3 linked regions of the Mus musculus genome follow. The protein of the gene in region 2 purifies or fractionates together with the protein of the main gene of each other region. This does not show direct contact. Links are inferred from orthologs where the notes say so. Each region holds a gene or a part of one and is shown on either strand. Other genes may lie near its edges.

The links. The genes of interacting proteins can lie anywhere in the genome.
Region 1: the proteins of Sf3b3 (region 2) and Snrpd1 fractionate together in Homo sapiens (co-fractionation; 4 studies listed by BioGRID and IntAct, with this or other methods). This does not show direct contact. The link is inferred for Mus musculus from reciprocal best matches to the Homo sapiens genes SF3B3 and SNRPD1.
Region 3: the proteins of Sf3b3 (region 2) and Ccdc97 purify together in Homo sapiens (affinity purification with mass spectrometry; 3 studies listed by BioGRID and IntAct, counting the BioPlex papers as one, with this or other methods). This does not show direct contact. The link is inferred for Mus musculus from reciprocal best matches to the Homo sapiens genes SF3B3 and CCDC97.

Annotation. Positions count from the first base shown.
Region 1 is NC_000084.6:10,616,549-10,620,707, forward strand, and holds the start of Snrpd1 (small nuclear ribonucleoprotein Sm D1), read left to right. Parts: upstream 1-1,247; 5' UTR 1,248-1,364; coding exon 1,365-1,378; intron 1,379-4,159. UniProt on the Homo sapiens protein: Plays a role in pre-mRNA splicing as a core component of the spliceosomal U1, U2, U4 and U5 small nuclear ribonucleoproteins (snRNPs), the building blocks of the spliceosome.
Region 2 is NC_000074.6:110,819,284-110,822,928, forward strand, and holds part of Sf3b3 (splicing factor 3B subunit 3), read right to left. Parts: intron 2,308-3,645; coding exon 2,185-2,307; intron 1,579-2,184; coding exon 1,424-1,578; intron 1-1,423. UniProt on the Homo sapiens protein: Component of the 17S U2 SnRNP complex of the spliceosome, a large ribonucleoprotein complex that removes introns from transcribed pre-mRNAs.
Region 3 is NC_000073.6:25,716,124-25,720,324, forward strand, and holds the start of Ccdc97 (coiled-coil domain-containing protein 97), read right to left. Parts: upstream 2,913-4,201; 5' UTR 2,844-2,912; coding exon 2,795-2,843; exon of another isoform or gene 2,773-2,794; intron 2,157-2,772; exon of another isoform or gene 2,022-2,156; intron 877-2,021; exon of another isoform or gene 731-876; intron 65-730; coding exon 1-64. UniProt on the Homo sapiens protein: May play a role pre-mRNA splicing through the association with the splicing factor SF3B complex which is involved in branch-site recognition.

The DNA.
Region 1 (4,159 bases), on a different chromosome or scaffold from region 2:
AATGTATCCTTATAAAGCATACATTTTAATGGAGGGAGGTATTTAATTGTTCATAAATATCAATCAAGAACTGTAGATTTATCTTGCCATTACTAAAATTATTTTGAGTAGAAAGTATTAAAATTACCCCTGAGTCACCCTGGTTGGCTTTCCAGCATAAAACAGACAAAATCATTCGAGAGTTGTGTGAACCTTTCTGCCCAGACCTTGGACTAAGAATGTACCTGGCTCTGATTAGCTTAAAATAGACAAGGTATAATCTTATTTGGCTGAAATCTCTTTTTAGGGGGAAGGGAAGGTTCGAGATAGAGTTTGTGGCCCAAACTTGGACCACCATGCCTAGCTATGAAATAACGTTTCCCCTGTTTTATAACCCACATTACAAGGACCTCTGCTTTTCTTAATGTCCAGGCCCATTGTTCTGTTATAAGTCACCCTTAAGCTGCACACTGCAATTCTGGACTTGCCTGCCTCTTTCTTTGGTCTCATTGATCCTTGGGACCAGTTCCCATACATGGGGACAGGGGTGTTTGTTGACAAAATCACGTTCCATGTAAGCAGTTTTGGAGAGCGCAGAAAGCAGTTGTATTTCCTTGCTTTTAGACACGATATTCTCTCTAGAGCCATAAATAATAAATTATAGAATCAAATGATAATAAACTAATATCATCCAAATTCTTTCAAAATTATTTGCACTATGTTTGTAATTAGAGACAAATGTATATGTTGAGTAACTACATTTAACAGTGTGGTTATTGCAAATAAGGTGTTGAATTTTTTGTTTTAACTTTAACTGAAATATCCACATACATTTTTTTAAGTCGAAGGACTTGCTATATATAAAATTTATTTAAAACTCTGTCCTGAGAGTGGTTTTTCTAGTTTTAAGAAGGTACCCTGCATCCCCAAAGGAAAACCATTCTGTCCAAAGATTTGATTGGCTTAGCTTAATGTCAAGCCAAGTAAGGACATCTTGCAGGACCGAGTTCCCTGCTTCCAACATGTGAATCCCAAGTATTAAACTCGAATCTTAGTGGGCTTCTTTCAGAACTTCTCTTCCTTTAACATGTGAAAGTTCCAGGCCTTCACAAGTAGTTTTAATAACTTCGTAACTGGTCTAAAAAAACCTGCAGAAGATGTCGTCCACCAGCCCTCCCGCCCTCCGAAGGTGCAAAGCACTCCTCCCGTCGCTAGGGGCCGCTGTCGCCCTCCCGGTGGCCGGAAGGCAGCGCAGCTTCCGCGTTCTCGTCGCGCGTCCGCAGGCCTCCGCGCGCTTTTCCGGCCATTCATAACCCCAGTCCGTGGATCTCTGGAGCCTGAATTCTGTGAACAGTCGGGCCAGAAGGGAGAACTGCGTCGCTAGGATGAAGCTCGTGAGGTGAGGAGGGTACCCCCGCCGGGCGAGGACGACGGGTAGAGGATTTGGGGTCGGCTCGGGAGGCCGGGCCGCTGTGCTCCCAGGGAGGCGGGAAAGCCGCGTGCGCGCGGCCTGCTAACGGCCTCAGGCCCCCGGGCCCCGCCGCGCCCTGCCCGCCGCCCAGAGCCCGGGCGAGGGGCCAGCGCGCAGACCCCGCCGGTCTTCCAGGAATGGAGGGGCCGAGCCGCCTCTGCCCACCCAGTATCCGGCAGCTTAAACGGAGCAGTGGCCCGTTTTCTTGGCGAATCGGACCATTTGCACTGAGGAGGACTTAGTAGACCTAGCATGGTTTTATCTGCAAATGATGACGCCGATTTGCAAGACGTTTTAGACTAAGATCTCCTTAAATTTGACCAGTTATACGAAGTATGTAAGTGGTTAGTGTAGGCTTCTAACTCAGGAAAGACAAAATGTCCTAGGATGGGGCAGAAGGTAATAAATTAATTTCGCCTGCATAGTTAATATCGGAAGTGGAGCCTAACTAGAGGCATGCTGGTTTAATTCAAATGAACAGGCTTGGGTCAAGCCTGAGGCAGGTTATACAATATCAAGCAAATAACTAGAAATATTTAGTTTCTTGTTGAGTCAAGACTGTTGTAGTTGGCCAGAATGGCATTGAACACCTTCTGAAGTAGTTGTACATAATTCACAAGAATTCTTTTAAAACATTTTTGAAGTTTTTTTAACGGTGACTCATAGCCTGCTTGAAATTGGAAAAAAAAAAATTACTTCAGGAGGAATTTGAGGGAGAAGGCATTTAAGGTTAAAAAAATTTTCCCCTGTTCTGGGGATGGCACGCAGAGAGCTTCTAATAGTCACTTAACCTTGAGCTCAGCCCCAGTTCATTTGTATTTGGACTGTAACCTAGGTAGAATGCTAAGACTTGCCGTTTCTTTACTCCCTGATATGAACTATAATGTATTTACAGTAACATGTTCATCTCATTTAAAGGTTCTATTATGATAACTTTGCCAGCATCCTAGGCAGGTGCTCACTCTCCTGCTGCTGCTGCTTTGATTTGTCTTGGACCCTATTTTGTATAGCGCAAAGTATAGAGATTTCTAATTACAGGAGAATTTTTTTTAAAGATGTATTTATTTTATGTATGTGAGTACACTGTAGCAGTACAGATGTAGCAGTTGGGGCCTTCATGTGGTTGTTGGGAATTGAATTTTGGACCTCTTCTCGCTCTGGCCCAAAGATTGATTTATTATTATAAATAAGTACACTGTAGCTGACTTCAGAGGGTGTCAGATCTCATTACTGGTGGTTTTGTGAGCCACTATGTGATTGCTGGGATTTGAACTCAGGACCTTTGGAAGAACAGTCAGTGTTCTTACCTTGCTGAGCCATCTCGCCAGCCCCCAAGGGAGAATGTTTTTTGCCCTGTGAAAATGGTTGACTGGTTTGCACTTTTGGTGTGGGCTTTCTTATTTGTGCATGAGTTTTGTATTGGACTGTATTGCCTGTATTTATCCCGTTGCCACCTTGCCCAAACTTAGGAAGTGTGCTTAGCTACCTTTCTCTTAATCCTCCTGGCGTCTGGTAAGTTGCCAGGTTTCTTAATTTTTCTAACTGGAGATACTTCTCACTATCCAGTTCTCTTTGGTTTTCTATTCAAATAGGAAAAATTTGGGTACTAAAAGGACCCCATACACTTTACTGTTTGATGTGCCAGTCTCATTAAGAAAAGAATTCACAGCTAGGTGATGGTGGCCCATGCCTTGAATCCTCACACTTTCTCTGCGTTCAAGGCCAGCATGCTGTACAGCGGGAGTTCTAGGACAGCCAGGGCTACACAGAAAACAAAAGTAAGAAGAGAATTCACAAAATGAAGGACTCACTGGAAAATAATTTGAATTTATGTGTTCCTTGGCCTCTTTTTACTTTTATATTGAGACAGGGTCTCACAAGTTGTGCTGCCTGACTTGAAATCACTCTATCTCAGCTGACATTAGATTGAGAATCATCCTGCCTCTGCCTCCTGAGTGCTGGGATTAGAGGCCTTCACTGCCACCAACCAGCATCTCTAGATAGCATAAGGGAATTTTTGTTTCGTTTTGTTTTGTTTTTCGAGACAGGGTTTCTCTGTGTAGCCCTGGCTGTCCTGGAACTCACTCTGTAGACCAGGCTGGCCTCCAACTCAGAAATCCACCTGCCTCTGCCTCCCAAGTGCTGGGATTAAAGGCATGACCACTGCCTTGCTCATAAGGGAATTCTTCAGCAGAATATTTTCTTCACAAAAGGACCCTGTTCTCCCCACCTCCTCCTTTCTGAGTGCTGGAATTAAGTCTTTGCCACCGTGCCTGGCAAAATACTGTTTGTAATGTAGTAGTTTAAGGTTGCTGAAACGTTCAGCCTGTACTTGGTGTGTGTTACTATAGAAAAGTCGTGCTACTTACTTTCTCATGGGAGAATGGAATAGGTAATATCACTCGTGTAGTTTACTGTAGTGGATGTTATAGGAGTGCACAATGGATATTGTAGAAAAATAAGTAGACTGGAAAATCTGAATATGAAGTGTTATTAGATGATATTGTAGATTATCATTCCATTGCCATTTGGCTAAAATAAAGCATGAGTGATAATGTAGAATTCCTGGTGGGTTACATTCCTGAATATTAATAGAGTAAAAGAAGAGAATGTTTTTTAAAGTCTTGGTCTGGGAAACATCGCCTTAAAACCTGTGCTCCAAAAGGGTTGTAATAGAATAAAATGGAGAGATGCTTAGGTTGAGAACAC
Region 2 (3,645 bases):
ACCCTAATAGGACCCTGCTCCCTTAAGTTCCAGAGGAACCCTGAGATCAACCACTTTGTTCCTGGTCCCAGAAGAATAAGACTTCAGCCCAGAAGCTGTATTTGACTCTACTGGATTGGACACAGATTTTTCCTACTTTCTCTCTTGTCTACTTCTGTCCATGGTAACTCTTATGAATGGAGACTTGAGGTTTAAGAAATCCCCATTTATAACAAACAGTTCTTCCAAATAGGATTGGAAAAATACCACTCGGGCTATAAAACTTAGCGTACACACACAGCACCATCTGCCAAAACTAAAAGGCCTAATCCACCAAAGTCTATCATTCTGGGAAAGTCTCTAAATGTACTAACCTTGCCTTTTGGTTTCTGTAGTTCCACTTCTGGCTAACTGTCCTTGTTAACTGAAATATGTCAGCTGGGACATGGCTTTCGTGCTTTAAAACTCATCCTAAGGATGAGTTCCAACTCAGCTTGAAGATACACGAGATCGCAAACATCAGACTTTCTATTGGCTTAAACCCAAATCAGAGCAGCAGACTCTGGCAAATACTCCACAACACTTCATCATATTTCTAATTCACTTTTTCCAAAAACTGTATTTCAAAGAAAAAACAAAACCTGCCTTCACACAAAAAAATTAAGACAAATATTTATATATTACTAATAGACAAAAAGTGATTGACTAACAATAAGTACTAGAATGTTCAGTGGCCTTCTGTATTTGTGTGTATGTGCATGCATGCAACTTGAGCCCAAGTGAGCACCTGAAATTTGATCTTGAAGCCAGCCAGCATTGGCTACCTAGTAAGATTCTGTCATGAAAAATAAAGAACGAGGTTTTCATCCTAGTACTCAATAAACATAAGCAGGTGGATCTCTATGAGTTTGAGGCCAAGCTGGTCTATGTAACATGTCCTGGGCTACATGGTGAAACCATGGCTAAAAAAAGATATAATTCTATAGGTAAATCCAGATTTAACGCTTGTTCTAAAACTAGTCTTGGGATATGACCATTTCACCAGGAAACAGAAATCTTAAAGTGCAAGACTAGTTTTACAACTTAGCTCCTAAAGTCTAAACAGAAGCTAAATGCCAAATTCAAACTTGGCTCACAGTTTCTAAACGCCTGAGCCAAACTAAATTTCAGCTGCAACACTCTTTCCTGGTGAAAGGTTGTTCTCAGCCATCTCTACAAACTCCTCCAACTCTGGTAGAACCACAGGCTGAGGACTTGGCACAAAAGCTTCCTGCTGGGCTTCAAGCCTGAGGATTTTCTCTTTTCCTTTTTGTTTTTTTGAGACAGGGTTTCTCTGTGTAGCCCTGGCTGTCCTGGAACTCAGAAATCCTCCTGCCTCTGCCTCTGCCTCTGGAGTACTGGGATTAAAGGCGTGCACCACCACTGCCTGGCAGTATTTTCTCACCTCAAAGTGTTGGTGGAGATGGCAACAATGCCCTCGGGACACTGTTCAGAGGCAAAGCCCGATGCAAATTCCAGGGTCTCATAAGACAGAGGGGTGAGATGGAAGCGAGACTGGTAAGAGTAGCTCAGCCATGAGCGACTGGACATAGCCAGAACCTGGGGAGGAAGAGTTCCAATCAGACTGGACAAGCTCATACATGGTAGACTGACCAAACAAACATACAACCCAACTTTGGCCTCAAATTTTAGAAGTCTACAAAGCCACTTTAAACAAAGGGAGCCCAAACAGGCAGTACACGGCTTATTGTATAAAGAAAGGAAAAAAATAAGTAAAAAGAAAAAGAAAAAGCAAGCTTTATCAATCACATTCCTCTGGACCGACTTTCCCTTGGGTATAAATTAGAGACTCTATTCCAAGGTTGGACAGCTGTAGATGTGAATAAGGTAACGTTTAAGAACTAGCACGGCAGTGGCAGTGTTAACTCTGAACTGCGAAGAATAGGCTCTCATTCCTATTAGGTAGACTCATGAGATCACTATAATCCTTTTCCATCTCAGATAGCTAGGCCTAAATAGACTCAAAGATCAATATTCAAGCTTCCTATAACCTCATAATGCCCAGTGCCATCTCATGGACCATCTCTTAGAAAACTCCAAAGAACCCAGAATTTCCTATGTAAGTGAAACGAACATCAACCTACAAAGTGAATTAGTCAGAAGTTCACAGTGGTACCAACATCCAAATGTCTTTTGACTACTTACAGCCTCCTGGCCTTGCATCCGGACCCGGAAGAGTTTCACAGGACGGGACCCCAGATACCTAGTGCGGGTGTCAGACAGGTCCCCAGTAACAGGGTCTAGGACAGTCCTCAGCAGTACACCGTTCTAGTGGAAAAGATGGAACAGGTAAAGCCTCCTTTTTATGATGGGAACTTTTATGTTAGATTTTCCTTTGGCTACTTTAGTAGAAGACAAAGATATGACTTGGTGGCGAAAACAACATAAAACAGGTCACAGCGCCCAACAATCAGGAATTCACTCATTCTCTCCTAGTTACTAAGCATCTACTGGCAAAACCCACTTCTCATTATACATACATTTCCTGTACATTAAGAAATATTTCATTTAAGCCAGGTGGGGATTGTGCATGTCTTTTAAGCCAACACTCAAGAAACAGAGGCAGGAAAATCTCTGAGTTTGAGGCCGGTCTGTTTGGAGAGCTAGTTCCAGGACAGCCAGGGGTCAAGAAACCCCATCTCACCTCCCCATCCCCCCCAAATCATTTAAGTTAAGTACTTTTTATAATTTAAAAGCAGACCTCCGCAAAAAACAAAACAAAGAAAACAAACAATTAAAGGCTGGGATGTACTGACTATGGTACCTCTAAGCCTCATTTTCCCTAAAGGAACACGGTTCCAAGGGATGACTGATTCAAGGCTGAAGCAAGAACATTCCCAATGCAACAGTTACCTAATTGTGCAAGAAGGCAGGCAAGATAGCTGGGTCAAATAAACAAACGAATTTCAAGGGAAACCACAATCAAAAATGAAGCAAACAAAAATCTAAGAGATGACAGTAATTTGAAGAAGAAAATACCCACAAATTTATATAGTTAAAAAATAAAAATCTACCTCCAACCAACAAAATCCCTACTTCATCAGACTCAACTAGAATGACTGCTGTAATCCTAACTCCTACTGTAAAATTAGTGACTGAAGAAGGGGTTGGGAGAGAGCCATTATCCTTTTCCTGTATAAAGTATGTTTAGAGCAAAGGAATAAACCTCAATTTACAGACTTGATTACAAACATTTCAACATCACGCACCTCCAGTGGGATGCAACAGAGTAGGGCCACTTCCACTACAACAGTTACGAGTGAGTAACTGCCGTCAACGTCTATAGTCTGCACTAACTGTGATTTTTCACGAGGAAATTAAAACATGCAAAGTATCAGATATTCAGAAAGTGTTACTAATCTTGGTGGGTATGACATTACTAGTTTCTTAAAGCAAAACACTATAGAGATAACATTACTAAGTATAGGAGGGAAGAGGTACTGCCCTAGATTTGCTGTAAAATACTCCTTTAAATGGGAAAATGAAGACTCATTTGTGTGTCTCATGCTCAAGCATTTTAAAGTATGAAACTAAAACTGAAAAAGCACAAGTCTGCCATCTAACTTAAGTCTTTGCAGGTCCTGATTCAGGAAGTAAGGCACATAG
Region 3 (4,201 bases), on a different chromosome or scaffold from region 2:
GGTCCAGATGGAATGGGAGTCTGGCTCAGCTCCCCCCAGTGCACAACTCTGGGCTCCACGCCGTCTGAGAGTCAAGAGGAGTCTTTAGTTAAGGGCATCAGGGGAAGGGGGCTTAGGCAGGAGGAGGCTGGGAACTGACACATTCAAACAGCTCACGTTTACTGAGTACCTGCTACATTCTGGGTAATGTTCTAGGCCTTAGACAGAGAGACCATGGTGAACAGGCCGTGATGCTGCACAGTCAATAGTCTAACTAATTAACAAAACCATGGAATATGCCAGGCATGGTGGCTCATGCCTTTAATCCCAGCACTCGGGAGGCAGAGGCAGGTGGATTTCTGAGTTCGAGGCCAGCCTGGTCTACAGAGTGAGTTCCAGGACAGCCAGGCCTATACAGAGAAACCCTGTCTCGAAAAAACAACAAACAAACAAACAAACAACCATGGAATATATTACGTGCTTCCCTGGCTAGGTAGAAAGACAGTCGGACAAGCCTGGTATGGTGGTACACACCTTCAGTTTCAGCGTGGAGGAAGCAGAGGCAAGTGGATCTCTCTGAGTTCAAGGCCAGCCAGGCCTACACAGTGATATTGAATTTCAAAATAAAAATCTCAAAAAACAAACAACAAAATCCAAAACACCAATGATAACAAAATGATGATGATGATAAATAAAGTATCCAATGAAAAGCCTAAAAAAGACAGAAGCAGCAAATGTTAGGATGGCTCACTTTTAAACTGCAGGGTAGCAGGCTTGCCAGGAAAGTGACATCTTGTAGCTGGAGAGATGGCTCAGCGTTTAAGAGCATAGGCTGCTGCTCTTCCAGAGTCCAGATTCAATTCCCAGCATCCACATGGCAGCTCACAAATTCTAGCACTTGGGAGGCAGAGGCAGGGGAACACCTGTGAGTTCGAGTACTGCCTGGTCTATAAATCAAGTCTAGGACAGTCAGGGCTACACAGAGAAACCCTGTCTCGAGAAACCGAAAAGGAAACAACAACAACAAAAAACCAAACACCCAGTTTCTGGTCTTTGGTATAGCAGTTGGAAGAGCTAAGAAAGAGCAGCCTGAGAAACAGAAGGGAAGCAGTGCATATTGTTTCTCTCATAAGGCAACTGTGCCAGGTGGCTGGCACTGGCTGCTGGAAGCAGTATAGTAAGAAAACAGTCTGGATGCTGGGCAGGTATGTATGTATGCATACACACACACACACACACACACACACACACACACACACACACAAATAGCCCCAGCATTCAGGAGGCTGGGGTAGAATGATTCATGAGTTTTAGACCAGGCTAGACTACATAGTGAGTTCTAGGTCAGCCTAGGCTACAGGGTGAAACCCCACCTCAAATAAATAAATATACAATCAAACAAATGAATGAATAACAATGAGAATGTAACAAAACAACAAAACTCTAATCAAGTAGATTGAATAGCCATGAATGGACGTCCCTGGGGATCCTACCTGACTGGAACAAGTTCAGGGTGGAGAGCACGCTGTAGTAGGTGATGGGTAAGAAAATTATGAGCAGTGTCTTGGCAGTGCTAGGAGGACAGGCCTGCTCTACCACACACAGTTTAGATGGTGCTGGGGATTGAACCCAGGGCCTCAGGCATGCTATGCAAACATCCCACTAATAAGCTACGGCCTTAATCCCTGGCTTTGAACCTTCTAGGCTCCTGACTATAGGCCCATTTCACCACATCTTGCCCCAGATTCTCTTTTATGGCTTCATGGTAGCAAATGTGATTGGCATTTGTAAGGCTTGAGGCCCAGCACCAGAAAGTTTAAAAGATACATACAATTTTGTTACAGAAAATGTTAATATATATACTTTGAAGCAGGGCCTCATAGTACAGGGTTTGACTTTGTAGTCTGGAACTCACTATGTAGTTTAGGATGTCTTCAAACTTAAGGGTAATCTCCTGCCTCAGTCTCCCAAGTGCTGGGGTTACAGATATAAATCACCACAATTGGAGATTATCAAAGATTGAAACACACACTAGAACACACCTCTGCCTCTACATTCATAATCTGCTATTCAGCTTCAGTAACTCCCAGTTCCAAGTTGTCATCGCACATCAGACTACTATGAAACATTAAAGACAGGCGTGGTGGCACAGGGCTGTAAACTCAGTACCTTGGGACCTGGGATTGGAGGACAGCAATTTGGAGGCTGACCTTGGCAATAATAAAAGGCTGTGAACAAAACCCCAAAACAAAACAAAACAAAAGCCCCCGCCCCCGCCCCCCCAAGCCAATACTTGTAGGAAGTCAGTAGCAAAGTAAAAGGCATTGAAGGTGCGAGGGAGAAAGGACCTAAAGGGGCGGAATGAGAACTTTAGGACCTAAAGAGGCAGACGTTGGGGTCAGGAAGGGTTAGAATGCAATGGGGGCTGTTGGTTTGATGTGAGCTTTCATGGGACAAGAGGAGAGCTAGCTTGGGATACGGAGAAACTCAGGTTGGCACAGAAATGATGTTAACTTGAGAAAGGTTGGTCTGAGACTGGAAGAATCTGCAGGAGAGTTGTTATTTGCTTGAAGCGTTGGCATGGTAAAAAAAAAAGTGGGTTAGCCTAGGACATGGAAAGGGGTTCATTTCAAAGAAGAAGGGAAACGTCAACCTGCTACAAGGCCGAATAACCAGACCCACAAGGTGGACCAAGTGTTGAAAGTGCCAGTAAGCGGCGGTCAGACTTCCTAGAGTCCTCAGCGCTTGCCGGAACCATTTCCTGGTCACACCGCAAGAGCACCCTCCGGTCACCTGAGCCTGGCAAACGTCTCACCATTATCCGGCTTCCTCTCCGTCACCTCTGCAGCTGCCACCGCCTCCATAACAGGTCTCTTCAACACAGTAACCGCCACAGCGGGCTCCGGAAGCCAGGCTGGACCCTAGGTACCCGCAGGTACTTCCGGTTACGCAAGCGTCTTTATGCGGCACCCAAGCATCAAAGTTCCGGGTCAAAGGCGGGCCTTCTCTTATGCGCATGCGTAGCCCCGCTGATGGATCTTAAACCTATCAAATGGGAAAGTCAGCGGGGACCGTGTGTCATTTGATCGCTACTCTAACTTGAGGTCCTCGTGTGTTAATATTTGGAGTGGTTGTATTGGCCCTATCGCATAGACCCTCGAGTCCTCTTAAAAATACTTATGCGGTCAGAAGACAACTTATGGGAGTGTGGATAAAATTCAGTCAAGGTTGGCAGCAAGCATCTTTAACCGCCGAACCATCTCATCCAACTTTGTGCTCTCTGTAGATTTGACTTCCTTCTATCATCACATCCAGCCTGTAGGGCTGGCATGAGATTAAATTGGGGGGAGAACCTTTGTGTTTCCAAACAAGAAGGAAACCTGCAGATATGAGGAATTCGCTGTGTAAAAGGGAAGGACCTGCTCACCACAGGCAGGGTCAGAGACTTTCTGGCAGGGATAAAGCCCCCAGATGAGACCTGAAAGGCATGGGCAGGAGTTAGGAAGTACTTCAGGCAGTTTTGCTGACAAAGGTACTTCTGGGTGCTGTTAACTGTTTACTATGCAGAGCATACAGCACTCAGGAGACAGAGGCAGGGATATCACTGAGGGTTTGACGAAATCTTGTCTTGAATAAGGCCGGCCAGGGTTACATGGCAAGTTTTTCTCAAGAAAGCAAAAAATAAAAGATTATTGGAAGCTGGGCAGTGGTGGTGCACACCTTTAATCCTAGCACTTGGGAGGCAGAGACAGGCAGATTTCTGAGTTCGAGGCCAGCCAGGTCTACAGAGCGAGTTCCAGGGCAGCCAGAGAACCCAGACTCAAAAAAAAAAATGGAGGCCACGTGTCAGTGTCAGATCATAAAGGGCTTCGTAGCCCTATGAGGTGTTTGGAACCCATAAGGTTTGGGGTAGGGAACCAAGGAAAGGAACTGGAGATCACAACGAGGAAGGTGGTGCATTAATCTTGAAACAGGTTTGGAAGAGTTAGAACTTGGTAAGCATTCCCGACATTTGGGGAATGGCCTGGTAAAAACCCAGCTGCATCACCAGGAATGGCCAGCAGAGGGCGATGCTGCCCAACACACATATGCCAAGAGCAGCATTTCCCAGGCTAGGGACAAGGACCCCTCCTTACCTTCTCCTAGAGCAACTTGACAAGTGTCTCTCCTCCCCTTCCCCCCTCCCCCAGACAGGGATTCTCTGTATAGCCCTGGCTGTCCT